Linked DNA regions of Tribolium castaneum. The protein of the gene in region 1 interacts with the protein of each later gene in a pairwise test. Links are inferred from orthologs where the notes say so. Each region holds a gene or a part of one and is shown on either strand. Other genes may lie near its edges.

The links.
Region 2: the proteins of Cdc5 (region 1) and beta-Spec interact in binary tests that used the Homo sapiens proteins (3 or more experiments, as listed by UniProt). The link is inferred for Tribolium castaneum from reciprocal best matches to the Homo sapiens genes CDC5L and SPTBN1.
Region 3: the proteins of Cdc5 (region 1) and Exo70 interact in a two-hybrid assay, tested with the Homo sapiens proteins (2 studies listed by BioGRID and IntAct). The link is inferred for Tribolium castaneum from reciprocal best matches to the Homo sapiens genes CDC5L and EXOC7.
Region 4: the proteins of Cdc5 (region 1) and fand interact in a two-hybrid assay, tested with the Homo sapiens proteins (2 studies listed by BioGRID and IntAct, with this or other methods). The link is inferred for Tribolium castaneum from reciprocal best matches to the Homo sapiens genes CDC5L and XAB2.
Region 5: the proteins of Cdc5 (region 1) and crn interact in a two-hybrid assay, tested with the Homo sapiens proteins (2 studies listed by IntAct). The link is inferred for Tribolium castaneum from reciprocal best matches to the Homo sapiens genes CDC5L and CRNKL1.

What each region holds. Positions count from the first base shown.
Region 1 is NC_087400.1:3,566,313-3,572,274, reverse strand, and holds Cdc5 (cell division cycle 5-like protein), read left to right. Parts: upstream 1-2,313; 5' UTR 2,314-2,518; coding exon 2,519-2,960; intron 2,961-3,104; coding exon 3,105-3,791; intron 3,792-4,581; coding exon 4,582-5,687; intron 5,688-5,735; coding exon 5,736-5,897; 3' UTR 5,898-5,922; downstream 5,923-5,962. Other genes in the region: uncharacterized protein LOC103314450, read right to left, coding at 164-221; Yod1 (ubiquitin thioesterase Otu1), read right to left, coding at 993-1,205, 1,256-1,945.
Region 2 is NC_087402.1:8,235,435-8,241,532, forward strand, and holds the start of beta-Spec (spectrin beta chain), read right to left. Parts: upstream 3,766-6,098; 5' UTR 3,608-3,765; intron 1-3,607. Other genes in the region: transmembrane protein 184C, read left to right, coding at 4,081-4,343, 4,424-4,460, 4,516-4,718, 4,827-4,901, 4,955-5,161, 5,318-5,417, 5,467-5,638, 5,691-5,902. UniProt on the Homo sapiens protein: Fodrin, which seems to be involved in secretion, interacts with calmodulin in a calcium-dependent manner and is thus candidate for the calcium-dependent movement of the cytoskeleton at the membrane.
Region 3 is NC_087399.1:7,104,810-7,111,095, reverse strand, and holds the start of Exo70 (exocyst complex component 7), read right to left. Parts: upstream 3,448-6,286; 5' UTR 3,289-3,447; intron 2,335-3,288; exon of another isoform or gene 1,647-2,334; coding exon of another isoform or gene 1,345-1,646; intron 1-1,344. Other genes in the region: stet (uncharacterized protein LOC657740), read left to right, coding at 1,345-1,646; 26S proteasome non-ATPase regulatory subunit 2, read left to right, coding at 3,715-3,759, 3,811-3,867, 3,918-4,591, 4,635-4,770, 4,920-6,286. UniProt on the Homo sapiens protein: Component of the exocyst complex involved in the docking of exocytic vesicles with fusion sites on the plasma membrane.
Region 4 is NC_087398.1:14,037,015-14,043,230, forward strand, and holds the start of fand (pre-mRNA-splicing factor syf1 homolog), read right to left. Parts: upstream 3,469-6,216; 5' UTR 3,348-3,468; coding exon 3,294-3,347; intron 3,245-3,293; coding exon 2,188-3,244; intron 1-2,187. Other genes in the region: nucleoporin Nup43, read right to left, coding at 3,687-4,045. UniProt on the Homo sapiens protein: Involved in pre-mRNA splicing as component of the spliceosome. Involved in transcription-coupled repair (TCR), transcription and pre-mRNA splicing.
Region 5 is NC_087400.1:95,514-101,686, forward strand, and holds crn (protein crooked neck), read right to left. Parts: upstream 3,575-6,173; 5' UTR 3,477-3,574; coding exon 3,438-3,476; intron 3,384-3,437; coding exon 1,407-3,383; 3' UTR 1,379-1,406; downstream 1-1,378. Other genes in the region: protein OPI10 homolog, read left to right, coding at 527-562, 614-1,165; Nle (notchless), read right to left, coding at 3,781-5,193; protein FAM91A1, read left to right, coding at 5,497-5,568, 5,613-5,697, 5,748-5,957, 6,012-6,173. UniProt on the Homo sapiens protein: Involved in pre-mRNA splicing process. As a component of the minor spliceosome, involved in the splicing of U12-type introns in pre-mRNAs.

The DNA.
Region 1 (5,962 bases):
CGAATTTTTGGTTGGTACCGCTAATTACTGCAAAATTATATCAACTCTAAAAATAAAAAAACCTAAATAACGTTTGACTGTATTGTTAAAACACCAATTTGAGTTTCATTTAAAAATGAACGAAATGTAATGAGACGATTTTTTGATATGTCAGGTCAATTACCTGTCCCAGCGAGTACCAGCGCCCAGCACAAAACCCAAATCACTTCACTTTTACCCATTTTGACCACAAAAAGTCGAAGAAATCGATTGTCGTCCAGTCCAGACACCACACAATGTGCTTTCTCACATGATTTAGATAACAACTGATTATTTTTGTATCAGATAATTGGGTTTGTTATGGTTTATTGTTGGAAATGAATTGGTGATGATGGCACGCTGAAGCGACTTAAAACCTGACGAATTATGAGTCATTTATTAGCTGAATTTTAAGTGAAGGTTGATTAGTCAGGTGTGCGGAAATCCCCCATATTTATCGATGCGGTAGAGTTAGAATACAACTCTCAATAAATTTTATACGTTTGTTACTTTCGATTTCATTGTTATTTTGAAGATGCGTTGTTTAAAAGTGATAGTGATAAAAGAATATCGATTTTTGATGGCACTTTTTATCAGATAAGAGGACAAAAATTATTAAAGGTGCACCGCGTCAATAAAGTCGTGCCACCAAACTGGTTTTCTGTTAAGGCTAATAATTAATTAATTAGCGGTTTCGCGATATTCAGTCCAGGAATTAAATTGTTAGATAACCTATTACAGGTTTCTATAACCGGTTTTTTTTTCGGTTCGCACTACGGAGGACTATGAGTTAGGAGACGAAACGAGATGGATTTTTTGGACCAAAAAAAATTGCTTAGAAAAAAACGTAGTTCGGAGAATAAAAAGGGCACAAATAGAAATAAAACACATTTGTACAAATTATTATTTATTCTTAATAAATTAATCCCCTTGAAAAAATCTAAAACAAGTCTAGAAAATGGTCACTGGCAGTGCTAGACTTCCCCGAAATTCGTATGTCCCGTACTTTGCGCATGCTCCCTTGCCTGCAATTGTCCATTAAGGAAAATATTACAATTCATGCATTTTAGCGTAAATTTGTTAACATCAGTGAATTGTCGACTCGACTTCGCCTCGCGCGCTAATTCCTGCGCCTCTTGTAAAACCTTATCATCATCAGTGGGAAAAATCGTCTGAATACTCGCCCCCTGAAACGAATCAAATAATTTTTTGATAACCCCCTGAGTAAGGAAATTACATCGGACGATTCCAAAAAAAGGGGGTCATAGTGTATACCATCAAACATTAGAAAAATTCGAAGTGTGTAATGCTGGTCTTCCCCGAACCGGTTGATAATAGCGTTGATCGTGTCTACGACGGCAATTTCGAACCCATAGTGATTCGAGAGAATGGCCAACTCGATGGCGCCCCCCCATGACTTGTCGTCCTGGATCCAGGCGCAATACTCACGGTTGGGTTTCCCCAAAATCGCCTCGGAAAACATCTCGGGGTCGCTGGCCACCGTTTCGGCAATCACTTGTCTCATGTAGGGGGCTGCCGTGCCACTCTCGTCCAGTTTCCCGTTCAGGGCGAAGTAAACACTACTGAAAAGACACGAGTTGTCGGCCGGCACCACCTTCTTCATCAGAATCCCCGGACAGTCGACACTTTCACTGATATGGCCCCGCAAGGGGGGCGCAGTCTCCCGGGCCTTCTCCTCCAAAATCAGGGTATCGCCCGACTTGAGACCACTGCGACTCAACTCGAGACCATCGTCCCCCAAGGCGAACGCCTTCGGGGGGAACCCTGACAACACATGGAGCCTGTCCTCGGGGATCTGCGATATGGAGCACAACTGGCGCTTCAAATCTTTGATCGTGTGCTCAGGTGTTAGGTTTTTGATCACTTGTTGCCCCGTTTTGGTTTTGACGCGCAAAGCGAACGACATGGTGCTCTCTGGGGGCTAATAACAATGACAGTTGGGAGTGACAAGTGACAGGAGAAGTGAGGTTAAGGGCGAAATTAAGGGCTTGGGGCCCGAATTTAGACGATTGGGGCGAAAGGGGGCAACACTTGGGCGCTTTATCACCGAGATAACATTTCAAAAGGGTTAAATAAACACAGGGATTTGGGGGGGCTAGGGACTTTCGCCGACTGACGCGAGATACCAACCACACTTTTTTAATTATTTCAAGACAGGAAAAAATTATCACGTTTTAGATCAGTCTCGTGTCACGATTAATACGTTCTAAGTACGGTTCTGATTATTTTTAATCCCCAATTTTTGTTTTTTCTCGACTAACAGTTATGCCAACTCAAGGACGGCCATTTTTATAACCAAAAATCAAGCCGTTTAAAAAGGGCCGTTTTTTGCATTAGTGTCCCAAAATAATTACTTCTTATCTAATTAGTGACTCAATAGTGTTGACCCAAGCATCATTATCGTGCTTTTAGTGGTATTGTTATAAAATTTAAGTTTTTGTCAAAAGTGAGGTTAGGTTTTTAACTAAAGAGTGCAAAAATGCCGCGTATAATGATAAAGGGGGGCGTTTGGCGCAACACCGAGGATGAGATCCTCAAAGCGGCGGTAATGAAATATGGGAAAAACCAGTGGTCTCGAATTGCCTCGCTCCTTCACCGCAAATCGGCCAAACAGTGTAAAGCGCGTTGGTTCGAATGGTTGGACCCCAGTATTAAAAAAACGGAATGGTCGCGGGAAGAGGACGAAAAGTTGCTACATTTGGCCAAGTTAATGCCGACTCAGTGGCGCACGATAGCCCCCATAATCGGGCGAACGGCCGCTCAGTGTTTGGAGCGCTACGAGTACCTCCTGGATCAGGCACAGAAGAAGGAAGAAGGGGAGGATGTCACGGACGACCCCCGGAAGCTCAAACCGGGGGAAATTGACCCCAATCCGGAAACCAAGCCTGCGAGGCCCGACCCCAAAGACATGGACGAGGATGGTAAGAGCTAACAAATGGGGTACATTTTTCTCAGTTTCAAAACACGAATTCAAAAATGCAATAAAAATTTCAAAACCGCAAAAGAATCACCCTGTATAGTATACTATAACGCAAAAAGGTTGGCACGCGTGTTTGTCGTTGCAGAGCTGGAGATGTTGTCCGAGGCGCGCGCCAGGCTTGCCAACACCCAGGGCAAAAAAGCGAAGCGAAAAGCGCGCGAAAAGCAGCTGGAAGAAGCGCGTCGATTGGCAGCACTGCAAAAAAGGCGCGAGCTTCGAGCTGCCGGCATCGAAGTGAATTCGCGTCGTAAGAAAAAACGCGGTGTTGACTACAATGAGGAAATCCCCTTCGAAAAACGTCCAGCGATTGGTTTTTACGACACTTCCACCGAAATTGTTGATCCAATGGCGCCCGATTTTCACAAAATGCGTCAACAACATCTCGACGGTGAACTGCGAAGCGAACAAGAAGAACGCGAACGTCGCAAAGATAAACAAAAATTAAAACAAAGAAAAGAAAATGATATTCCACAAGCGATGCTACAGAATCAAGAACCGGCGAAAAAACGCTCGAAATTGGTACTTCCCGAGCCGCAAATTAGCGATCTGGAGTTGCAACAAGTCGTAAAGTTGGGTAAAGCGAGTGAAGTTGCACGTGAAGTTGCAGCAGAGAGTGGAATCGAGTCGACTGATACGTTGTTCAATGATTATACGGTGGCGGCGCCACAAGCGGCAGCGGTGACTCCCCGAACTCCGGCACCGCAAACTGATCGGATACTTCAAGAAGCGCAAAATGTCATGGCTTTGACGCATGTGGATACCCCACTCAAAGGTAAAAAAAAAATCACAAAAAAATAAATAAATAATGACGTAACTCGAAGAGGAGCGAAAAAATCGAAAAATTTTATTCTTGAAAAAAAATTGCAATTTTGTAGTAGTTTACCGTCCACCAATCTGTTTTTTCAAAAAGTGAATAGTTTCGCCAAAAAATACTAAATTGCAAAGTTTGCCTCACCCGCTATATTGCTCAAAAATATCCCGAAATTAAGAACTTTTGTAAGTTCTTGATTTTTAAAAATGTGCGTAATAATAATTAAGAAAGGTACAAATAAATTAAAAAAAAATTTTTTTTTTCTTATAATACGAGCTAAATATAGAGATACAGTTAAAAGTTTTACTTTGTCACCTACCAATAAAAAAACTATTTAAGTCACAATAACTGAATACCCTGCCAAGAGCATGCCTATGTGACTTAAAATTGTTTGAAGATTCCAAATCTGTCTTTATTGGATGAAATATCAATTTTCTTGTTCATAATATGTAAAAAAAATAAAAAATAAAAAAATGAAATTGACATTAAATGACTTGTAGTTCTTTCTTTTTATTACTTTATTTGTCTCAATAACTTAATAACCAATAAAAAAATTTCTAGGTGGGTTACTACCTAAAAAATACCATAACTTCAAAACGAACGAAAAAATTAAAAAACTTTATACTTTGAAAAAAGTCCCATTTTTATAGTAGTGTACCATCCACTAATAACTTTTCCCAAAAAGTTAATAGTTTAGTCGCAAAACGCCAAACTGCAAACTTTGCCTCACCTTGTATATCTCTTTCAAAAGGGGGCCGAAACACGCCACTTCACAACTCGGATTTTTCGGGCGTTTTACCACAAGCCCTCACCATAGCCACTCCCAATACGGTCCTGGCGACCCCTTTCGGGGCCCAAACCCCCGGTTTCATGACACCGCAGGGCCCCCAAGGCAGTTTTACGCCTTCAGTTCGTGACAAACTCAATATAAATGAGGAAAACACCGAAATGGTGGCACAAACTCCAGCCGAACAGCGTTCGCTCCAAAACAATTTAAAAGAACAACTAAGACTAGGCTTAAGTAGTTTACCGACACCGAAGAACGACTACGAAATCGTCGTTCCCGAACAGGAAGAAGAGGAAAAAGAAGAAGAAAAAACGCCAAATATTGTCGAAGATCAGGCAGATGTTGATGCGCGAGCGCTTGAAGAAGCGAAAATTCGGGCGGCTCAGGAGTTAGCCCTGCGGTCGCAGGTGATTCAAAGGGGGCTGCCGCGCCCCCACGATGTAAATTTGGCCGTTTTGCGGCCGAATCACGAGTCGCATTCGTTGACCGAGCTGCAGAAAGCCGAGGAATTGATCAAGTGTGAGATGGTGACAATGTTGCAATTTGACAATTTGAAAAACCCTAACCAAGTCAAGCGCTCGGCTTTGGCTCAGGCCCAGCAGTTGGCATTCCTGGAACAGCACCCGTATGACGATTTCAAATCGGATGATTTAAAACTTGCCAAACAATTATTGAAACGTGAAATGGAAATTGTAAAGTATGGAATGGGCCATGGGGAATTACCTTTGGAGGCATACACCCAAGTTTGGGAGGAGTGTCTGGGACAAGTGCTTTTTGTTCCAAATTTAAACAAATACACGAGGGCTAATCTAGTGTCGAAAAAAGAGCGGTTAGAATCGGCGGAAAAAAGACTGGAACAGAACCGCTCACATATGGCGCGCGAGGCGAAAAAGGCGGCAAAAATGGAGAAAAAACTAAAGATTTTGACAGGGGGTTATCAATCGAGGGCGCAAGCCCTTATCAAACAATTGGCCGATTATTACGATCAGATCGATCAAGCGAATTTGGAGTTGAATACGTTCAAGTTTTTGCAAGAGCAGGAGAAGGCGGCGCTCCCGAGGCGCATACAGGTATTTTTTTACAATTGTTGTTTTTTTTTGTTATTATTTGTGTTCCAGTCGTTAACCGAGGATGTTAACCGGCAAATGGAGCGGGAGAAAGGGTTGCAAGGACGTTACGGCGAGTTGCAGGGACAAATCAAGGAGTTGCAAAGCGAGTTGGAGAAGTTGCAACAGGAGATTGAAGTTGCAAGGGGGGAGCAGGAGGGGGAGGCTGAGTGATTTGATGAATAAATACTGATTTGAGTGTTGGTTGTTTTATTTATTTGGACCCCCTGATAAAAAAT
Region 2 (6,098 bases), on another chromosome or scaffold:
TAACATTGCCAGCCAGTGACGATGCCAATTACCTTCAATCAAACCGAATATTACATACTCACAGTGGGTACAAATAGAAGGGTGCTTGACCTTTACCACAGTAATAATAGCCATTACGGCTACTTTACTATTTTAATCAACTAATTAGATAAGAGCTATTGGATTCATGCCACTACTTTCTAATCAAGGTTAACACCCTGGCCTTTGCACAAATTAAAACAGATGCCTGTACATTCAAACACCAAAAATCGGCATGTGCGGGCAAAGTGCTCAACGAACTGTAATACCTGAATGTAATAAAAAATTCACGCCATCCTCACACCCTATTCAAGCATTTCCATTCATCACTAATATTACGCTAGTACGTAATTTATCGTACGTAAAAACTGAAACAAAACTCTGATACGTAACGTTGAGGCATCTTCAAACATGTATACCTTAATAGGTAAGTAATTAATAACCTAATTGAATTAAGCATCAACGTTGCTCCATAAACGAGACGCCAGACACTAATTAAACCAATATTGACACAAATTACCTACTTTCGAGCCAATTTGTGTTCGGAAAATAGTAACTTTTTGTCAAGAAATTCCCCATTCCAAGTAGTAAAACAAGATATATTTGCTTGGTAAAAATTTATCATCAACGAATTTGAACCGTTATAAGACCGATCAAAAACCCATGCACGTAAAATCTTACAGACAACTGTGTTTACGGTACATGTTCCACCCACAAGTTAGTTTATTTGTTTACATAACATTAATGCTTCTGGTTAGGATTAGATGTATTTAAAATTGCTTCTGGATTAGATCATCTTAAACAACACATGCTTATTATTAAAAATGGTACAAGTATTTCAGAATAAATCGCGGAACCTTGCAAATAATTTTCGAACTTACAGCACAATGAAAATTAAGAAGGTTATTTCAATTATAAGTCACAAAACTGTTTGCCCATGAAGTATTTCCTAGTCATCTACTAAACTAAAAAAGACGAAATGTAAATTAGTTTTTATTTAACACATTAATGTAACCACCACGTCAGAACATGACAAAATTAATATTTATTTGACCTAAAAACATACTGGCGTGATAACAGCACCAATTAGCAAATTACTTAAATCGTGGTAATTGATGAAGTTTATTAATTAAAATAGAAATTACATTAATTCAGTTCTTATAAAACAAAAAGTCTGTGCACAAATATTCGTTTCACATTTCTGTACACAAAATGCGTAACCTTCTAAAGGCACGTCTTCCATTAAAATCAATAATTTCCCTCTAAAAGCAGTAACGGCGGAAACATACATAATGCTTCCTGTAAGTAATCATTAATATCGGGTGCTTGTGGAATACGTAAGCACCAATAAAACTTCTTTCTGCCTTAATAAAGTTATTAAAAATAACAACGAACAGAGTTGAATAAGACTTATTTTTTAAATTGGACCAATTGGTAATGTTACAAATAATTATGTGTATATATGTGAAGATGAGCAATTGGTTTACCTATTCTGTAATAAATGTTAATTATTTCGTTGAGTGATTTTAAACTAAACAGACAATATTATGTTCTTTGGGAGTGCCAGTAGTTTACTTAAATTTTACATAGCTGCTGATTGATTTAGAAACGGCTCCAATTCAAAATTAAGTAAAATTTTATATAAGTAAAGGTAAAATAATTAAGAAGTGTTGTTTTCACAATATGATTGGCTGTTACTTAGCTACAACTTAGCAGTCTTTAAAGTAAAACGTACTATTTTTACCATAAGGTGAATCAAAAAAACTAAGTTTCGTTTGCCTAAGTTATTTATTTTTTGAAAAAAAGCTAACTGATGAAATATTGATTACGTAGTCGCCTTAAAAACTAATTTGCGTTTTTGAACTATTTTTTAAATAACATTATCTTTAATAAAAACATTTTTGTCGTAAAAACTGTTCATGATAAGTTGACATTGAAAATAAAACAATATTTCATTCTCAAAACATGAGGACACTACTATCTGACTTAAAACTGTAGAAAAAGTGGCAACAACGCATGTACATTTTTTAGGATCAAATAGATCACAAATTTAAACTGATGTACTTCCGTGTGATTCTGCGTTAAATTTAATGCCAAGAAAACTCACGAATCTAAAGAGAAAACCAATTGCGAAAAGTGACAGTTGTTTTTAGTTTTGAAACAGATATTATACTATTATTATTTATCTCTCACGAAGAATTTAAAAAAATGCATGGTTCAATATATTTTACTGACCCTGTATGTATATTTCAATATTTGCTAGGTAAGGAAGTGTGACGCAATTTGTTTATGATTATATGTAATCCTATCAGAAAACAGGTGTGTTGTGGTAGATCATGGAATTAAGCATTTCAAGTTTGGATTAAATTACGAAAACAAGAGCTACTTCAATTTTTTTTTTGGTAGCAGTGTTTTTTAACAGTGTTATTTCAATTTAAAGTCAGTTTGTCAAACTGACAAATATTATTGAATGACGTTTATATCATTCAGCAAGTTATTTGACAAGACAATGCCAAATTATACGAAAAACTGATAATATAGTAAAACATAATTCAAATTTAAACTAATCAATGTTACAATCTTTTGTAAAACGCATACAAGAGAGTACAAGTACAAGTACACCTAAGTCCTTTTAAAGTCTTTAAAGACTATCATTAGGCGATCATAATTTTGTCAGAAATATGACGTTTTTAAACGCTCATTAGTTAGATTAAATTAAAAGCAAATGCGTAAGCACGAGCAATAAGTGAACTTTGTCTTTTTTCATGTCTCATTGAAGTAAAAATGTGTGATTTTTATACACAAGGCAGCTAATTAACACAGTCTGAACTAACAGTCAGACTATGGAAACTAGAACAGTCATATTTACTCAGTTACTACACAAACATTATTATTGAACTGTGATAAAACGTTTAAAAAATGTGCAGGTTTAAAAGGAAAGAGTTGTAGCGATAAGAACACAATCCTACTACACAAACACTTGCACTATTATTATGTAACAACTTGATGATTACGTAAAAATTTAAATTTAATACTATTTACAACAAATATGACTCATGCACGCATCACAGATATTAATAGACACCGAAAGACACAAGAGTTTATAGGCCATCATTAGCTTTATCAAATAATGTGACATTCAGTCATTTACCAATTTATTTTGGGATTATGACCATACTCTTGACCTGGAAAAAGTATGATCAAAAGAAGCTACATAATATTACCTAAAGATAATATTGAAATTTAACAAAATTAATAAATTTGTAGGGCGGCTATTATTACAGTTGACCTGTCCCTTAAGGGCAGTAACCCGGCACTGGGTTACATTTGTAAACCACCTCCAAGTTCACTGACATAGCAACAAATGCATTTTGAACTTTGAATCAACGACAAAAGGCCAATTCGCTCAACAACCAGAATAAAGGTATCATCACTGAAAGTGAAAAAAGCCAGTCAATACAGTTCTACTGAATTATTTAACAGTTTAGTAAAGTTTGGGTTACACCTATTCGGCCATTTTAAGAGACTTGGGTTAAGATTTATCGACATTATTGGTAACCGCAGCAACCGGCAAAAAACGATGACTTACCTGTTATCGTTACTACTTAAATATCGTCGGTCTCACTGATAAACTTACATTCATAAGTTAAAAAACTGTTATTTTTATAAAATCACCACCTCGCGAACACAAACGCCCTTCATGACGGCTATTAACGAGACTCGTTTACGCATGCGCATAATTACGATAACAACACGCCCAACGCATAGTAGGCTGGTTGCGTAGAGAATAGATGGCGCTAGGTTGGATGCCCTTGATTTCGCTTGATTACTTAATTGTAACTTCCTTTGTGGCAGGGAAGGGCCACGTGGGGTTGTAGTAAATTATAAATAGTCAAAACCAGATTTGCAATACAAAACAATGCCATTTTCCCCCCTAAAATAAAAATTGCACAGTCCGGCCCTGTGGCCGTTGCGTCGAGTGCCCGTCAGATGTCAGCCCAGTCCATTGTCAAAAATCTGTCATAACAAAAAAGTGTCAAAAATGTAAAATGTTTTTTGAAAATGCCGTTCGAAACTTGTTTTAATTGTTTGGCCCGTTGGAGATTATGGATAAGACCATTGGTGATTATTATTTACGCGTTAGCAGCTCTTGTTTTCGTGCCTTTATTCTTAGTGAAGTCTTTGGAGGATGGGTTTAACAAGCGAGACCAAGAAATTTTGATTGCTGGAATCTTCGTTTGGGTTGCTATTCCTTTGTCTCTGTGGGAAATCATTCAGCATGTCATACATTACACCCAGCCCAAGTTACAGAAACATATCATCAGGTAATAATATCAAAAATGTGATTGGTTTTATAGACGGCTTATCAGTTCGGTTCGATATTGACGCAATTATTGTACTTTAGGATATTGTGGATGGTTCCCATTTATGCCATCAATGCAGTAAGTTATGACTTGTAACCAGATTTAAGGTTTTGGCTGTGATGATGTCTTACAGTGGTTGGGGCTTATTTATCCCAAGCAGTCAGTCTATGTGGACAGTTTAAGAGAATGCTATGAAGCTTATGTAATATACAACTTTATGAGATTTTTGCTGAATTATTTGAACATGGAAATGGATCTTGAGGCAAGTCTTGAGTTGAAACCTCAAGTGAAACACATTTTTCCGCTATGTTGTTTACCTGACTGGGAAATGGGAAGGTGATACTATGTGTACGAAATTAAGTTGGCAGCATTAACTAATCTGCTGTTGCCAACATAATTTCAAATCTACAGGTCACGTCAAATAAACTTTATGCAATTTTATAGAGAATTCGTTCACATCTGCAAGCACGGAATTCTCCAATATACAGTTGTTAGGCCTCTAACCACTGCCATTTCTTTGTATGTTTACTCAACTGTGTTTACTTAATTTTATTAATTGTGTAATTTGTTAGCATCTGTAAAGTGTCTGGGGTTTATGGTGACGGCGAATTTAAAGGAAATGTGGCTTTTCCATATCTGATAGCTGTCAACAACATATCACAGTTTATGGCCATGTACTGTTTGGTCATGTTTTACAAAGCTAACATAGCAGAACTGAGACCAATGAAACCGTTACCAAAGTTTTTGTGCATTAAGGCTGTTGTTTTCTTCTCTTTTTTGTAAGTTGTTTTTAAGTTACTCCATATTAGGAGGTGACACGGCGTATAGTTTTTATGTTTTTTTTAACAAGAATGCAATAAATACGGACTTTTTTTTGTCGTTTCACCTCCTTTAGGTCTTCTGGAGAATAGTTACTTAAAAATAATGTTTTCTAGTCAAGGTGTGCTCATAGATATGCTAGTGTATACAAATATAATTACGCCAAACTCCAAAGATTCAACTGATGATGGCTTAAGTTTATCAACGCGGTTGCAAGTAATTCTTACTGTATTAAGTTTAATTTGGGTTGAACACAAGTTTGTAGGATTTTTTAATCTGCATTGAAATGTGCATGGCCTCAATAGCACATCATTACAGTTTTTCGTATGAACCGTATGCAGTAACTGGCTTGAATCAGTCCTGTTGTCAGGCTTTTCTTGCAATGTGGGATGTCTCAGATGTCCACAGGGATATCCAAGAACATTTAGGGATTGTCAGTATGTAGATTTGACCAATAATAATTCAATAGATACAGGGGAAATATTTCAGGTAGTTCGATAAGTCGGAGGATTAGGGGGCGCAGCATGTACACAATTCCAAGGGGGGACAATGAATATGCGAATTTGGTGTCCCCACAGCAAGGGGCTGTCAGTGCGCCCACATCAGGGTTCTATCAAAATAATTATGATGAAGTTTTTGTGAATTATGGAGCAGTAGATTCTAGTCAGTCAATAAAAAATGACAGTAAAGCGCGATTGTAACTGCCAGGTCTTTTACTGGTTTACGCCTATAGCATTTATATTATTTTACAAAGTAAACATTGTTACTGTATGTACCATCTTTATATGTCTAGTTGTATAAGTTATATCATCGTTATATTTTAATTTAGATGTGTATAAGAAGCCTCGAAACGAGGTATTTTTATAACGCAAACTGGATATAAAGAAATACACTTAT
Region 3 (6,286 bases), on another chromosome or scaffold:
AAATATCACTATTCTAACCCATCGTTCTAACTTTTCTTTAGCCCTGTGCACTGATTTCTTATGAAACTTATTCTTATGTTGCATTCCCCTTAATATCTTCAAATTTCATATCATGAACCATTTTTACGAGCCTCTTCAAAACTTGACTGCTTTAATTTCAAAATTACTTTTATTTTAAGTTTTTTTGAGTGAAGTATATTTTTTTTACATAAGCCAATTTATATAACTCTCCATCTCTTGTTGTTGCAACTGCTATTAGTCTTCCTGTCTTCTTTTCTCGAATCTCACATCTTTGATTTTCAACAATTGTCTTCAATTTTCCCTAGTTATTTTCATGAAATTAAATTAAATTTCAAACCCGGAGCATAATCAACTTGGCGTTTCAATCCTCTTACCTTTAACATACAATAAAACTGAAGTCACTCCAATGTCTTGGATTTTAAATTTTGATGTTTCTTTGAAATTCCTCCTTAAAGAATAGCAATTTTTAGATTTTATGATCTTTCTTCTTGCTATTAAAACATGTTTCTTTAAATCCTGTTTTGTGTGATGAAATACCATTTTTATCAATAAAATCCTTGAATTTTTGATAATGCCACTTCATTACTTAAGCTGATTCTCTTCCTTCATTTTTTACATTTAGCAGCTTATAGTAGTAATCTCCCTTTCACTAAATCTGTAGCTAATTCTGTATTGTAGTTCTCTAGTGTCATAATTAATGGCTTAAAAAGTTCTGGTAGATTAAGAGCAACTAAAACACTATCCTTTATTTCACTGTCTATTGCCTTCAAGTGTTGGGCAATTTTCATTTCCTGATTTAAATAATCATTCATTCCCTTACTATCAGCGTCACGAATCAAAACTAATTTTTCTGTTAAAGTTGCCACTCTTGGGAAACCTTGATATTCATAAATTTTCTTCAGTCTATCCTAAACTTCTTTTTCAGTTTTCTATTCTCTAACTTCCGTAAATATATGTGACTTGACAAGAAACACAATTGCTGCCAAAGCCTTCTTCTCCAGCTTTTCATCCTTCTTTGTTCCATCCACAAAATCCATCAGTTCACAATTAATTAAATGAATTTCTACTGGATAGGTACTTCCAATCCATGTAGTTGCACTTTCGAAGTTTTTCGAAAAATGCAGGAACTCCTCAGTATCACTTTATGCACAAGTTTTGTTTGATAAATAACCAGTTGTACGCCTAATGTGTTGTAAAACTTTATTGTGTACAAAGAAAACGTTGCTACAATAAATTACAGGAGATCCTGATCCAAATTGTAACTTCTTTATTTTAGACACTACTATCACAACACCAAAATTCAACTGACAATTGTTATTTCAGCCTCCTGCGACGTGGGGTACGCCATCTATTCGCGGTATGCCGCCGAAGCGATGGGGCCGCCGGTGTCGTACGTGGCGCACCTGACGGGGGCCCTGGCGGGGCTCACCATCGGCCTGCTTGTCTTGAAGAATTTCGAGCAGAAGTTGCACGAGCAGCTGCTGTGGTGGGTGGCGCTGGGGGTGTACGCCGCCTGCACGATTTTCGCAATTCTTTTCAACGTCATGAACCCCACGGTGGAGGCGGTGGAGAATTTGGGGGACGGGGTCAACAGTCAGTATGTGTATAATAGGTTCGGGGTATAGCCCCCTTTGTATAGGTTACGGGAACTCTCGGAGATTTATTTATCAAAAGCACTGAAACGATATTATTGCCCACATAGCCATTCCAGACCCGTTTTACAATACTAATCCAAAAATAAATCTCGGAGAGGCCGCTCTGTATATAATTTTTTTTGTACATATTTATATTTATTTAATATTCTAGACCAAAGACTGAAATGAGTAAATTCGAATGATTTATTAAGGTTTCGTTGTGAGGAAATTATTGTCAAACAGCATTTATCAAGTTCCTAAAACGATTCAAAGCAGGAGTGAGCGCAAACCGACAATTCCATTATTCACTTGACAATAATTTCTGCTTTATTTCACTTTCAGTTCATTTTTTTCTGAGTGATATTATCAAACTAGTCATAAAATTATTTAAGTATAAGCCTACCAAAGAAAGTGCTAGTTAATTCTATTTACACAATAATGTATTCGAAGCCTTATAGGTAGACGATTTTTCAATGTATATCACAAAGAAATTGTATTTTTTTACACTCAGGTAGACCACTGTTCACTGATATATGTATTTGTAACGAAAAAAAAAAAAAATAGAACTGATGGGTATTTCTTTTATAATACCTTTATTCCATTTTTGTTTTGTTATTATTATCACACTGTTTTACAAAACGCCCAACTTCCAAAAATAGTAATAAATTATTCAATTGTGCGACGACTTTTACTGAACCCTTCCGAAGTTTTTATATACAGGATGTCCACCATGGGGATCTCAGTTATTGTAAGAGATACAAGTTTGGTGAAATTAGGGCTAAGTTGCGCATTTTTATGCTGAACAATTATGTGCAAGAAAATGTTGTCATTTTTAGTTTTTGAGCTATTGGAAGAAAACGGAAATTTGTCATTTCCGTTTCTATTTTTTCAAGCAAAAACCAAAAGTACTAGACGTTTTTAAGTAGGACCTTCTTCGGGAACTTTTTTACAAGGTCATCGTATTTTCCAAAGCGTTCTTGATGTCAGAGTTAAAAGTTGAGTGTTGTAACTCTGACATCAAGAACGCCTTGGAAAAGACGATGACAGATTTAGGTTTCTTGTAAAAAGTGCCTAAAGGATTTCCTACTTAAAAACATCTAGTTCTTTTAGTTTTTTTTCTTAAAAAAATAAAAACGAAAATTAGTAATTTTTTATTTTTCCCAATAATTCAAAAACCAAAAATGGCACACCAAATTTTCTTTCAGATACTTGTTCAGCATAACAACGTGCAACTTTGCCCTAATTTAACCGATCTCGTAACTCTTATCACAACTGAGATCCCCATAGTGGAGCTCGAAAAACGGACACCCTGTAGACGGACAACACAAGTGGGGATTTCTCAGGGAGGCACGTAAACATAGTAGAAGCATAAAAAAGTGAAAATTAGTTATAATAGTGATTTAATTCATTGGTTTGTTAATAAAAGCTGTCTTCTTTTAGTTAAAATTCAATTTTTATGACGTAATCATGTAATTGTAGGAGCAAAGTGGCCGTGGTAATTGCTATACTAGACGGCCCCGAGCTAATTGTTTACAAATAAAATTAAACAAACTCATAAACACATCAAAATGGGGACTTTACCCACATAAAAAATCTGGATTTTAAAAAGTTCTAAAGCGACATTCGGACTTACCGCCGTCCATTAATCGTAAAAACATCGGTAATTTGAGCAATTTCTTCAATTTCTGGACACCAACAAACACTAAATTGGGGCTATTTACCCAAAAGGGGCTTAAGACGCACTTATGAAACAAGCGGCAAAAACTAAATAAGGTTAGGGTACGTTACCAAACACTAACCTATTAGGCCAGAAGATGGCGCAAGCTTACGAATTAAAAAATATCTGCAAAAAAATTAAACCTTACGGCATAAATTAAGAAAAACAATCCGAATGACCTTTAGGACCGTCACAAGGCATATCAAACTTATCCATAATTTAATTTTCAATTTTTATTGAGCTTTTAGGCGGAAACGGAAACGCCAAAACGTCAAATTGAAATTTTTGCATGTCATTTGAAACGGTCGCTCCTTTTGCCCATTTTTGCAAAAATTCGCCGAAATGGCAGCTGCAGCAATCCGAAAACCGGTGATTCCCAAAGATGACGTAAGAAAATCCCCTATTTATTTAATACTTTAAACGGGGCCCAAATTTTAGTCGGACGATGATAAGGAATTACAAGTGGAGCTAAAGGGTCTCGTGGACCGAATTACGGTGAGTTTTTCCATCATCAAAATAATAAAAAACCACGTAAATATATACAGGGTGACGAATCGAAGCTAGTGAATGTGTCCCTCGACATGTTAAAGTACTTAATACGGACCTCAACCTCGTCCATGACGTCCGTCCCAAAGCCCCTCAAATACCTGGCCCCTTTTTACGGGGCCCTGCGCAACAAATGCGACTCGATGAAGGACCCCCTCCTGAAAAAAAATCTCTCCGATGTCGTCTCCGTCCTGTCCATGGGGGCTATCGACGGGAGCGTGAAACGCGACTTCGACTGTCTCAAGTACTGTCTCCAAGGCACGATGGAGAACATCGGCGATTGGGGGCATGAATACATCCGCCAGCTGGAGATCGAAATCGTCAAACAGTGGGTCATGTGCGAGAACAACTACAAGACTCTGAGCCCCCTTGTCAAGCAGATCATGAGGTTTAACTGCAGCCACCACGACGAGATACAAGGCTGCGACCTTTTAATGGAAATCAACCAGATGTACATGCTCTTCGATTACGTCACGAGGGAAAACTACAAGCCCATTTGCTTGTACCTAGCCTCCTGTGCAAAATATGTGGACGATCTCGAGAGCAAAAAAATACTGAAGCTTATTTCGCAGTTCTATTATCTTTTTCAGGAGCATTGTCGCTGTTTGGTCGTCGCGATTCAAATCAAAGACTCGGCTTTGATCGAGAAACTCTTCAATACGTGCACTGACAAGTAATCTAGTCGGCGTTTCAAACAATTTTTCACTCATTTTTAGGATCACACTGTATCAAATGGCCTTCATATGCGCCCGACACCTCTACCCAATCGAATTTAATCTCGACGATGACGACGTGAGGAGCATTCTCGAGAATAGTCACTTGAGCCACTATTTTTTAAGTTTTGCACGTGAGGTTAGTGACAATTTTTATTCATTTGGCTTAAATTTGCCATTTTCCGTCTTGTGATGTTGTATTTTGGGGTCAAAATGCGAAATTTCCGGAAGAAATTCAAATTTCCCGCCTTGTGTTTCGGCGCCAAATTCAAATTTTTCTCGCTTTAGCTTGATATAATGGAGCCGAAATCGCCCGAAGAGGTGTACAAAACCTGGCTTGAGCCCGTAACGCTGCGTCAGAGCGTCCTCGGCGAGAAACTGGACAGTGCCCGTCAAAATCTGGCCTCGTCCTTCGTCAACGGTTTCGTCAATGCTGGTTTTGGCACTGATAAACTTTTGACAACCGACGATGGCAATAAATGGATTTATCGAAACAAAGATGTTGGCATGTTAAGTGCCACTGCAGCTCTGGGTTTACTATACTTATGGGACGTAGATGGCGGTTTGACCCCAATTGATAAATATCTCTACACCAGTGATGATAATATCAAAGCTGGCGCGTTACTAGCCCTTGGTATTGTCAATTGTCGCATTCGAAACGACTGCGACCCGGCCCTTGCCCTACTGGGCGATTACGTGGGGAGTGGCAGTGAGGAGTTGCAAGTTGGGGCGGTGCTAGGCATCGGATTGGCGTACGCCGGGAGTGGGCGGAGCGACGTATTGAATCTCCTCCTACCGGTGATACAGAGCTCGAAATTGGTCAAAACTTTGGGCGTGGCGAGTCTTGCATGCGGTTTGATCAGTCTCGGGAGAAATAATAACGAATTATCGGACATCATCTTGACGAAAATGATTGAATCGAACGGATTGGACGTTCTGAAAAGTCCCTTCATGTTATTGGCTGGTTTGGGCGTGGCACTTGCATATTTCGGAACCAAGGATGCGATTGAGGTTCCGACGATTGTGGCGGATGTGTTTGAGGAGCCGTTTCGGACCATCTTCCAGACCATGCTACAAATGTGCGCTTACGCCGGAAGTGGGGATGTGTTAATAATCCAGGAATTGTTGCGATTGGTCGAGGAAAAGGTCGAAGTTCCCGAAACGACCGAAACGAAAGGTTCGAAAGATAAGAAAAAGAACGAATGGGATTATCATATGGGGAAAGCGATAGCTGTTTTGGCCGTGGCCGCCATTTCCAAGGGTGAGGAGCTCGGGACCGAAATGATTCAAAGAATTTTCGGTCAAATATCACGTTATGGCGAACCTTCGGTCCGCAAAGCCGTCCCATTGGCTATCGCCTTGACTTCGGTTAGCGATCCCCAGCCCACTATAATCAACGTTTTGACGAAATATTCACACGATATTGACGACGACGTTGCTTGCAACGCCATTTTTGGGCTGGGTTATGTGGGGGCGGGCACTAACAATGCCCGCCTTGCGGTCACTCTACGCCAACTAGCTTTATACCATACCAAGAACCCGTTCCAATTGTTTATGGTAAGAATTGCGCAGGGTCTTGTCCATATGGGTAAAGGTACCATGACTTTGAACCCCTTACACACCGATCGTCAGTTGCTAGACCCGGTTGCAATGGC
Region 4 (6,216 bases), on another chromosome or scaffold:
CCCTAAAATATTTGGTTTCAACGTTTAACGGCTTAGTTGCAAAAAAAGGCATTCTGTTAGTTGTTTTATTAGAGAAAACTTTTCAGTCTTTTAGCACAGTCTTCATAACATTTAATAAATTTATTATACTGTTTTTAGATTATTTAGTGTTAAAAACATCATTAAATTATAAATATACTTGTTGGGTAATATATTTTTCATAATCTACGCAAAAAACTTTAACTTTATATAAACTATTTTGGATCTATCTTTTTTCGTTTTGGAATTATTTTACATTTCGTTATAAAAAAAAACAATTTTTAAAAAATCACTGCAAAGTCGCCGATTAATATTTTCCGGTAAATTTGTAACAAAAATTTAGAATACCTGTGAGTGTGCCGAAAGGCAAAAAATTGAAAAAGTCATTTTTTTTCAAATGGAACACTGTATTTTTTTTCATGAATCCATAGCATTTTTGATATGCTTTTTAACGATATGGAATCTTCATAGCAATTTTAAAATATTTTTCGAAATTTTTCAAAAAAATTATTTTATTACAATAAAATTTGTTATCCTGTTAAGTTAAATGATTATTTATTTTTTGCTATGTACTAATGTGACTAATTATTACTTATTAGTAATTAGTAACTATTAGTAATCTAATTATTACTTGATACATAAATCAATTTGGCTCATCAAAAATTAATAATAAAATAAATAAAAAAAAAAAAAATTTTTTGAACACTAAAAAATATAAATATAAAAATTACTCAATTTGAGTGGTCCTTAAATTCCCATAAGAAGTGTGCCTAGTCCTTTGCTATACAATCCGCATATCATTAGAAAGCTTATGAAAAATGTTATCGTTAGTGTAAATAAATATTTGGTGTTCCATTTGACAAAAATGAGTTATTCAACTTTTTGCGTTTTGGCACACTCTGTATATAATCTATGTGCTTTAACTAAAAGTCGTCTATTTGCTAAAACTACAAGGTATTCTGAGTTTTTCTATTACAAATTTTTCGAAAATTATTCATAGGCGACTTCGCACTACTTCGCAGTGATTTTTCAAAAATTGGTACCGAAAAGTTGAATAATTCCGAAACAAAAAAAGATAGACTCATTATAGTTTATATAAAGTTACATTTTTTTGCGTAGCATCCAATTGTGCAAAAATATGTAGGATGTTTCATTTAAAAAAATGTAACTTTGGTTCACCACCCTGTATACAACACCGTGTGTACAATAAAATTATTTTTAGTTTGTGGACTTTAAGTCGATCTATCGGACAGTGAAAACAACATGGCAATATTTCAAATAATAAAAAATTTATAGACCGATTACGCACCCCAGAGCCACCCTGTATGAATTTTTTAAGATTGTTTTGTTTATAATTATAAGTCTAAAACAAAAGACGATAGCGGGATGCGGATTTTATCAATTTTATTTTCTCAAAAAAACGGATTTGAGAATGTGTCACTCGTTGTTTTCTAAAAACCTCTTCCAAATTGCACTACCCTGTACAGTAAAAATATACTTGTTAGAATCCAGTTTTATCAAAATAAGCTGAAAAATCACTGTAGTAGCCAAAATTAAATTATTCTCTTCTTAAATCAACTAAGTTGAAAAGTCTTTTTTTTTTTAAATTCAATCCATTTTGGGGTGGATTTTACAATCGTGAAATAAACTCCGGATATGGTATTTTTGGTATAATTACTATGGTCACAATTGTTACAACAATGTATTTTTTAAAATTTCTCCCCAGGATAAAGTTAGCCGACGATTATCCACCCTTAGAATGTTTTTTAATTTTTTATTAATTAGAAGTGGGGAAGACCCAAAACTTTTTTTTCTACATTTGGACTACTGAAGTGATTCTCTACAATGCTATAAACTCGGAATTCGCCATTTTTGAGACGCCCTGTATGTATTTGAAGAGTCCGTATAGGTTTTTTTTACAATAAAACAGGCAGTAGATAAATAATGGTAGATGAGCAAGTGCCCGATATATATGCAAGTTTTAAACTGCTTACAATTGCATGTGACATCGACGATCTTCGATTCATAAAAATTGAGAAAAATACAATTAAATTTCTATTACTTTCAAAGACAAGTGACCATAAATCGTACAACTTTTACAAGGTAAAATTTCCGATATTTTAGTAATAAATACGAGTAAAATTGTATGATATTAATTTACAAACGTACCTTCATACAGCTGCACTCGCTTGTGCCACTCCTGCACATTATGCGGATTCTGCCTCAAGAGAACCGAATTCAACAGCAACAGCCTCCTCTCCATCAAATTCTCAAACCTCGCCAGCCTCAACTCCAACTCAATATCATCATCTTCAGTCTGATTGGGCTTTTGCGCCACCTCCTCCATCCGTTTACTCAACGTCAACTCCTCAAACTGTGCATAGGCGTCAAAGACTTGCGTAAAATCCCGCACAGTTGTAACCGTCTGAATCGCCTCCTCGTAAATATCCCGCGCCCGTTCAAACAACCCGCTCCTGACATAATACGTAGCCAGAGAGTTCCACAAATGCCCCAACTGATCAGTGTACCGCCTCAAGCCGCCCCTGATAATCGCATCAACATTCAACGAATGCACCTCTTCGGGATTTTTCGAAATCAACTCGCACAACTCGTTCCAGAGCTGGTGTTTGGACTTCCCGTGCTGTGACACGAAATTCTCATCATTGACAATCTTAGCCAACACAACGGCGGCTTCGTCCAAACGCCCAACTTCGGTCAAATACTCAACGTATTCCTCCGCATTCTCCGGACTGAGCTTCAAATACCGGCGAAAAATGCGCACAGCGGTCTCGGAAATGTCGTGCTTTTTGACGAATGTGAGGTAAAGGGGCCAAATCCGGTGGTGTTGGGTCACCGGGAGCGCCCTCAAAGCCCGGTCGAAAACCTTCCGAGTCCGCGTTATCTTGCACTGATCGGTCAGGAAACTGCAATAATCCATCCAAATTCGCGGCATTTTGTGCATGAAAACAAGGGAGCGCTCAAAAGCGTTGTTGACTTCCTCGAATGCGGGGTCTGTGATGCAGCGGTTTTTCACCTGGAGGCGGCGAGTGCGTAAGTAGTTGTACCAAAGTTTGTAAGAGCCGGGGAGCTCTTTAAGGGCCCGCTCGTAAATTATGTTAACGCCGTGCTTCGGGGCCTTCTTCTTGTGCTCAATGTAGCGCAGCCAGTGCTTCACAGAGTAGGGGTTGCGGAGGATCTCTTCTTCGTAAGGGAGGTCTTCGTCTGTCTGGAATTTTCGCAGTTATTTTGGACTAATTTTGAAACGGGATACGTACAAATATAATTTCCATGGGGGTTTCTTTACGAACAACATCGCTAGAGACAGGCATTGCGGCGCTTTGAACGAAAATATAACGTTGAGAAATGTTAGGTTAAGTAGATGAGGTTAGTTATTATTGTCGGTCAAAAGCGAATTCCAACAAATGCGAAATTAAAAATATACAAAATGTGAAATTGTGGTGTTTTTTAACAAGTGGTAGTATATATTGCTCTTATTTCTAAGTTTTAACCTAAAACACCTTAGTAAAATGCTGATGATATGATCAACAAAGATATAATACAGTAGAGTCTGGTTATAACGAACCCATTATAACGACCTCCAGCTATCACGTATATGCCAACAACCAAATAGTGGTTCAACTTTTTATTAGAAACTTTGTACAAAACAATTACTTAAAAACATTAACTCCATTGATTAAATAAACCGCCTCGTTATCGCACCCACAAAGAACCTTATTTCTGTTAACATCCAGACTATTGATTGGTTTGTGCAATTTAGGCATGAGCGTAAAAACATCCAACTTATTTTTGATAGCCTCGGATGCCAACCAAACATTCTCCCCATTCAGCAAACTAGAGGCACTGCCACATTTAGGCGACCAATGCCAAACATCCCCATCAGTGGAACAAGTGAATAGCTGGTCAGGATGATCTGGATGGAAGTGTATTTCCATAACGCCTCCCTCATGAGCATCCAACACATTCACAGGATATGTGTTTTGGCGCAAATCCCATATCGTTATCGAACCTGAAACGGAGTAAATAACATATTTCGAATTCTGATCAGAGTGGTCTATGACTAAAATTGAAGGCAGTGGCAACTTATAAAATGTGCTCAAAAAACTTCGTTCATCAAGTCACATATGAAATTTGAACGTAATGTGCCGCTTAATTTAAATTTAAAATAGTTAACTTGATGAACCACCATTTTTGAACACATTGTATTTTACCTAATTTATCTTTTAACGGAAATTGGAACTATAGAGACTTTTTTCAAAATTTTCTGCAGCAAAAAATAAGTGAAGCCTTAACGTCACAACCGCCTCTCATCACAGAAACCTTTTATTAATCACATATTTTTCACATATCTTCTACAAAATCAAAAAAATAACTACTTTCCAAACTCCTACCTGTTCTAAATTTTGTCTTGCACTTTGCGAAAATATCTCAGAAATTGTGTCTTCATTTCGATATTCTTTGGCAGTGATCAAAAACTATTTGATCTTAAAATTGGACCAAATAATGCTCGAGAGACGGTTATGACGTCATAATCCCAAATTTATATCGAAATAACTTGAAGTAGGATCGTTTCATAAATCATTTTAAAGTAACTTAAACTTTTAAAAGTGACTTCAATTTTTAAAATGCGTTTCAACCTAAAAATTTTCGTAAAATATTTCGTCAAATAATGATTAGGTAAAGACGTAAAGACGGCGGCAAATTACAAAAGCAACTTTAACAAACGTTAAATTTGTCAGTTTTTTGAATTGCACAAAATTAAGAAAGTGTTCATTTTTTCTTCTAATTCATTATCTTCTTCCGAACTGCGAAGACAAAAAATTTATAGAAAAAGAAAAATTATTTTGAAATTGTTAGTGATGTAAATTTCTTCGATCAGTTTCGTTTAACCAAGCCAACCATTTACGCTCGTTTGAAAAATGTTGAATAGATTACGTTCTAACAAGTAAAAGTCTCAAAATTGACGCCTGTGCTATGGCAGTTTGATTTAGGGTATTAATACAAATCGAAAGTTAAGAGTAAAAAATTTTCCAATTGTTCGTTTTAGAGTTATTGATAAAAATGTAAATAATAAGCTTTAGCTGTCTTTCCAATTATTTGTGCAACATAATTGATTAGTTGATGTTAGCGATATTAAAATTCTTTGAATAACTGTGTCTAGTAAAGAGTATTATTAATTTCCTTCGTTTTTGTATGTGTTAAATGATAAGATACCACTTTATTAGTGTATTCGAAATTTTGACGATATGTTAAAAGCTCGGTTATAAGTAAGATGTTTGTATGATGGCAATGCCACTGCTGAGACTAGGGCCTACACGGAAAAGTTTCCAAATCGCATTATAGCATACTTTGTGACAACAAATTTGGTAAATTCGCTTTTAATAAAATTTAATGTACAAATTTTAAATTTTAGATACTTATCAATAACTCGATAACGAAGGACAATTGGACAATTTTTCACTCTTAACTTTCGATTTGTTTTAGTCTTCTGAAGCAAATCCTAAAAGCATGGGCGTCAATTTTGAGTATATATAGGGTATATACTTATAGTTCTCACATTACTTGCTATGTCAACCGCAAACCAACAAAAACTTACCCCACAATTGCAGTTATTATTTTGATCATTGTTGTTTACAAGAAGGAATCCTAAAAGATAATGAGCCTCTTGCAGGTACTAAGAAGATGCCCAAAATAATTGATGCGGTTTTGTGGAAGTTTTCATTGGTTTATGGTATAGACATAGCCAGTTACGCAGAACTATACACAACATCAAAAATAAAAATATTTTCGTCAACACTATAACTATTTCATAAACTTCATCAACAGCAGCAAGCTGAAGACGAAAGGAACCATTATCGTTGATTTTTTTGCGTACTAATGATAATGTGGATTTAGCACAATTATCTGGCGGACTAAATACTAACAAAAAATAGTTATTAACATCAACTGCATTAAAGTTTGAAATATCAATGTCATTTCTTTACGTAAAGTAATCTTATATATGCGTTCCAAAATCAACTATCTCCGCGTTGTTTTTTGGAGTTATGTGTTTGCCTTAAAAGACTTAAAACTTTAGCCACATGTTATTTCAGCAAATACGTAGTTTGAGTTTTTTTATTCCATTTCACTATCTAGTCTTAAAAAAAGGATTTTTAAAAGACATTTTGTTCCATAACCGCC
Region 5 (6,173 bases), about 3.5 Mb from region 1:
TACACACTTACGAAATGGTGCAGGGACCCAACACGGACCCATTCTAATTCAAATTTAAGCATTTTTTGCAACTTTTTACTACTTTTATTGTCACTCGGTAGAAACAAAACACGATCATTTTAAAAGTACCAACTGAATGAAAACCGATTCAAATAAATTTGTTACGTACCGTGTTTGATGAAAATTAAATCCCAAAAGAACTGACGGAGTTTTTAATCCAAAAAAACACTTTTTTCACATACAATTGCACTCCCGTCGTGACATGTTTGACGTTTCTAACAGTTGGTGACCATGTTGGTCACTATGATCTAGTGATTTTTTTTAAGAAATAAATGTTTTAATTAATTTAATGCCAGTCCTTGTTCTTGTCCGAAGTGAAACCCATCAAGCTTTTTTGATGAAATTTCGCTATAATTTGCTAAATCAAACAGAAACGTTATTAAATTTGGTGACTTATTTTTTAGGGATTTTGTGGTTGTGGCGTCCCTAACCTAACAAATTTGAGAAATGTTCTAGAAGCTTCGTGATGGCAATGTTCGGTTTGATAGTATCAGGGCGTCCGGTGGGCCCCACCATTCCCAAGACATCACATATTTTATTGAATTAATTGCAGGTCCAAACCGAATTCCAGCCGATTTCCGAGACACAATTCATAACCACAATCCCAGAAGCCGACAGTATAAACCACATCGTGGTGTTCCTAACAGGGGCTATACCGTTCCCCGAAGGCACCGCCGGTCAAGTCTACTTCAGTTGGCCTGACCCACACGCGCCCCCCAACTGGCAGCCCCTCGGCCACATTTCCAACATAAAACCGTCGGCAATTTTCAAAATCTCATCACTGAAAAAACTCGAAGAGATGGGCGACTCGATGAATATTTTATTCGGGCAAAGTCACATCGTACACAATGCGCAAATAGGGATCGCTATTGAGCCGCTGGCGAATATTCGGGAAATCGAATCGGCGAATAATCCCAGTAATAATGTCACGTTTGCTCAGAAAATGTTGGAGAATTTTATGAATTTTGTGCTGAGTTATACGGTGACGCAACCGCAAATGGTCCCAGATCCCACGGCCACGTACGTTCCGTTGGCTACAGTACAGAACTGGTACACGAATTTTGAACGACGGTTGCAACAAAACCCCAATTTTTGGAAAACGTAGAGGAATGTGTGCATACGTGTGTCTTGTGTTCATCAAAGCTGGATTATGGCGGCTGTTAAGTCTCAAAACTCACTCGCTTTTAATGTATTTAAATGAATAAAGTATCGATTTTTTTATTATCTTATCATTTGCCCACAAAAAATTAATTGTTGCAGTGCAAAATCGTTGACCAGATAGCGCTTGGATAAGTGACAAAAGGGGAATAAAACAAAATTTAAACCTTAATTCTATTTTCTCAAAATCACGGTTCCGGTTCTTCCGTTTGCTTCTGCTTCTTCCAGCTTTTGGCAGCTGCCAATAACTTCAAATTGGGTTTACTGGCCTCATCCTCAGGGAATATATAATCAAAGATCTCCTCCCATCCTTGCTCAACACCATCCTCATCAATAACCTTCCTTCTCTTCTTAATCCTCCTTGGCATTTTCCCTTCAACTTTCTCCTTCGTCTCCTCGCTCCCATTTGCACTTTCAAACTCCTTCCAATTCTCCAATAACAAAACCCTCGCCTCCTTCTCCCCATAACTCTTCAAACTCTCATTAGCCCGCTCATAAACACGCCTTGCCAAACTAATATTCATATCCGACTCACAACTCAACTCAAACTTCGCATACGACAACCAAACTTTCACATGACTTGTCCTCTCCAACAATCTTTCGTACAATTGTCGGGCATTAGCCCACTCTTCTTGCCCGATCTCAAAATCGATATAGGCCTTCCAGAGCAGCTCAGGCATGTCTAGCCTTGGCTGAGCGATTGCCAACTCATAAATGGCCCTAGCACGCTCAAAATCCCCCAAAAGTGTCTCCAACTCGGCAAATTTCATCCAAGTCACACAATTTTCCGGACCAAACTCTAGATATTTCCCGTACAAAATACGACACCGGTCAAACTCACGCAACTGTATCTCTATATCAATATACCCACGGAACAATTTATCACGTGGGCATTTACCAATGGCAGTCCCCAAAATTTTACGAGCACCAATCAGATTCTTCCGCCTGATTTCAAACTGTGCAAACAACAACCAAATTTTACTAAACGTGAATAACTTATGGGGGATCAAGTCAAGGCAAGCTTTATAAACCTGACGTGTTCTTTCATAATCAACCGCTTCGATTTCCTCAAACAGGGCGTAATTAATCCACAAGTAAATATAACGCCTCCAGTATTGTTTATTTTTCGTTGGTGGCACGTTGGCTATGGCCCGCTCATACGTCTCACGTGACGTCTCAAGGTCCCCTTCCCCCTCCACCAGTCTCAAATAGTCAAACCAAGCGTCGTAATTGGTCGGATTTTCGAGTATCTCTTGTTCGTATTGAAACTTACGTTTCGAAACAATCACATCTTCAATACCGGAACGATCGCCGTACTTTTTCTCATGTATGGTGTAGGCTTTGTACAGCTCTTTCGCTTGTTCTTTGGGGAGATGGTCCAAGGCATACTTGTAGATAACGCGAGCACGGTCATGTTCTTTTTGGTTTTCTTCAAACCGTGCAAATGCAATATACAATTTTTCGTCCAAATGGTCATCACCGTAAAAATGTACAGCTCGTTCGTAAATCAAGCGGGCCGAGTTGATAAAACCGTGATTTTCTTCAAATCGGGCGTATTTAATCCAGTGTTTGACTTCGGGATGTGTTATAACAAAGCGTTCGTAGATTTCTCGCGCACGGTCGATTTCTTTGTATCTTAACTCAAAATTGATGTACGTTTGCCAGGCTTGTTCCTCCGGCTGCCACTCCATCCAGCGTTCAAAGACAGCTCTGGCCCCAGCCACATTCTCCAACATCTCCTCCATGTAGGTGTATTTGTACCAAAACTGGTTGATTCTGGGCAAAATCGTGACGGCTCTGTCCCATAAATTTCTAGCATGGTTCACTTGACGGTTTCGCATCTCCATTTCAGTGTATTTTAACCAAATGGTAACGTTACGATGGTCCACATCCAAGGCACGTTCAAATATCGAACGAGCTCGTTGGATTTCCTTTTGCGATTCTTCCCAATGGGCATATTTAATCCAATTGGAGATAACAGTTCGATTTTTTCGTATGTTGTCTTCGAATTGTTTACGGCGTCTGAGTTGGTAGTCGGCAAGTTCAGCTGGATCGGAGATTTTTTGCTTAGGGGGCGGAGGGAGAATCTCAAGGTCGCGCTCTTTTGCCTCGCGAAGGAGCTGCTCGGCTGTGATTTGGATCTCAGCAGGGGCTTTATTTTTCACCTGGAAAATTATTTTAGTTAGTTATTAAGTTGAAAGAGAAGGTAAATAACGTACCTTGGCCACTTTGGGCATCTTTTGCGGCTTGGTTTCCATCTCAGGGGCGACTTTTACCAACTTGTAGCACAACAAACAAACACGAACATAACCTTACGATTTTTTGTGGTTATGTTTGGACCACACAAATTGTGAAATATCGTGCCTTAAATTTTGATCGAGTGTTTGTTTGTTGTAATATAGATTAAACAATAATTTACGTAAGTAATTAAACTCCGCAAGCCAGTTTTTGTATTATTGGATTTGTAGATTTGCACTGGTGACGCCACATGTCGCGCACAATTACAGTTTTCTGTTTTTTTTTTAAATAAAATTCGAGAAAAATTACAAAATTTTATTGCATTTAATTTTGCCACAACTTTAAGACTTTGTCTTTACCCCCCGAGGCCACTTTGGAGCCATCTGAGGCCCAATCAAGCGCATAGACCTCATCCCCATGACCTGGCAGATCAATTTCCAATTTCTTCTCCCTCAAATTCCACAATTTGAGTGTTGAATCGGCACTTCCACTCACTAAAAGTCTAGAATCGGCCGAAAACGAAATCACATAAACAGCCTGTACGTGCCCCCTTAACGTACAAATAAATTTACCACTTTTGGCCTCCCATAATTTAATACTCTTATCAAACGAAGCCGAGGCAAAAATGCGACCATCTGGTGAAAATTTCACATCGTTAACTAATTGTTGGTGCCCCGTGAGCCGATTTAACGGCTTCTTGTCTTTTGAGGGGGCCCACAAAAACAAAGTGAAATCATCGGAGCCCGAGACGAGTCTTTCATCACCGATAGGGTTAACGATTTCGTTGTAACGACGCAGGACGAAGTCTTGTGATTGGATTTGGGTGTCTTTGACTGGGTCAAACGCCCCCAATTTGAGGATATAATCAGTGTTGAGGGCCAAAGTGTTGACCCAATGACCGTGCCCTTCTAACGTACGACACAACACACCGTCTTTAGCCCTCCAAACTTTAACAGTCCGGTCCTGCGAAGCCGTATAAAGGAGCCCCAGACCGCCCCACTTGACCACAGTCACACTTTTCAAATGCCCAGAAATAACCCTAGTACAAGAACACAGGACCGTATCCCAAATCCTGACGTCACAATCTTTACTCGCCGAGGCTAGAAAGCGACACTCGGCGTTTTGGTGGTAGGGTTCCCAACTCAGGGCCGTGACCCATGATTTATGCCCAATTAGAGTTTTACCAATCTGGGCCCCATTTTCGGGGTTCCATACCACCACCTTGCCGTCTTTACACGCCGAAGCTAGTTTACGCCCATTGGGGGCCCACGCAATGCACAACACCCAGTTCGTGTGCCCTTTACATGTCTTAAAAGGTGTCTGGGTGTCCACGTCCCAGAACCGAACGGTTGTATCGCCAGAACCACTCGCTAGGTGTCTACCATCGGGGGAAAAACTCACGGAAATGACAGCTTCGGCATGGCCTGGCATTGAACTTGTACATCTTGTCACGGGACGCACTCGGAACACGGCTTGTTGCTGGTAGAGGATGTCGATGACGGTTTCGGTGTTCAAGTCCGACAAGTTTAAGGTTTTTTCGAGCGAATGTGTGATTTCGGTGTCGTTGGCGTAAAAAATGTACGAATTTGTGGTTTCGAGGAGAGCATTGCAAATTTCAGTCAACTGGGACACAGTACAAGACAAGGGCAAGTCGATGATGTCGCCGGTGATTTCGCCTGAATCGGACTTGAAGCGACACAGGACGTGTTTTTGGGACAATTCGCCCCCCAATTCCATGATTATTAGCACTTTTTACAAACTGGTCCAACCCCACTTTTTGCACATGCCAGTGTCAAAAAGTGTGTGGTTAGAGACACTTGTTGGTAGCCCTGCCAGCTCACACTTTTTCTTGATTAAACAACGCAAAAAAATTAATTAAGCAGCATTACATTAATTTATTTAAAAAAAAAACACGCTTTCTTGCCCAATTCATGCCAAAATCGCGTAAAAACAGCAAAACTGTGCAATTGTGACACCTGTCATTACTGACTGTCACTTGTCAAATGGGTTTATCAACAACAAATTAACCCATTTACCAGCATGAATGCCGAAATCGAGGAAAATATCCGTAAAAACGTGCCATGGTCTCAACTCCCCGCACATATCAAACAGGTAGTTTGGTTTTTAGTTGCGACAAATGACCCCCCGTTTTCCAGATTTTAAACAATTCGGTCAAAGACTACGAACGCTACGTGGTCTCGTTCAGTATTAAAAACCAGTTGCGCTATCGCGGAAATTTAGGTGAGTGTCTTTGGGGTGTGTGTGAGCCCCCTTGATTGTCTTTGTTCCAGTACGACACATCGTCCGAGATGAGAAACGTTACTACGAACGTGTGGTGGCTTACAGTAAAGAGAGACTCATGTTATTCCCCTACCACTTGGCCGATATGATTGTCAAAGGTTTGCGGATAACGCCGTTCAATTACTACATTTCAGTGGTTGAGAAATTGATGCAAGCTGAGAAAAGTTACGATACTCTTCCGAACTTTACGGCAGCAGATTGTACTTCCCGCGAATTTATTTTGGGGCGTGTTTCCCTCATTTGGTGTTTTTCAGGTTTGAGGTTATTGGGGATTGGCAGAAATGAATACATCGAATTGATGAATAAGTCGAGGTCGAATAGAGGGCGCTTGTTTGGGAAAAAAAATGTAAGGGGGCTCCTACCACCCGTCCCCAAAGACATACACATTGAGCCGTGGTGGAGGGTCGAAGTTGGCC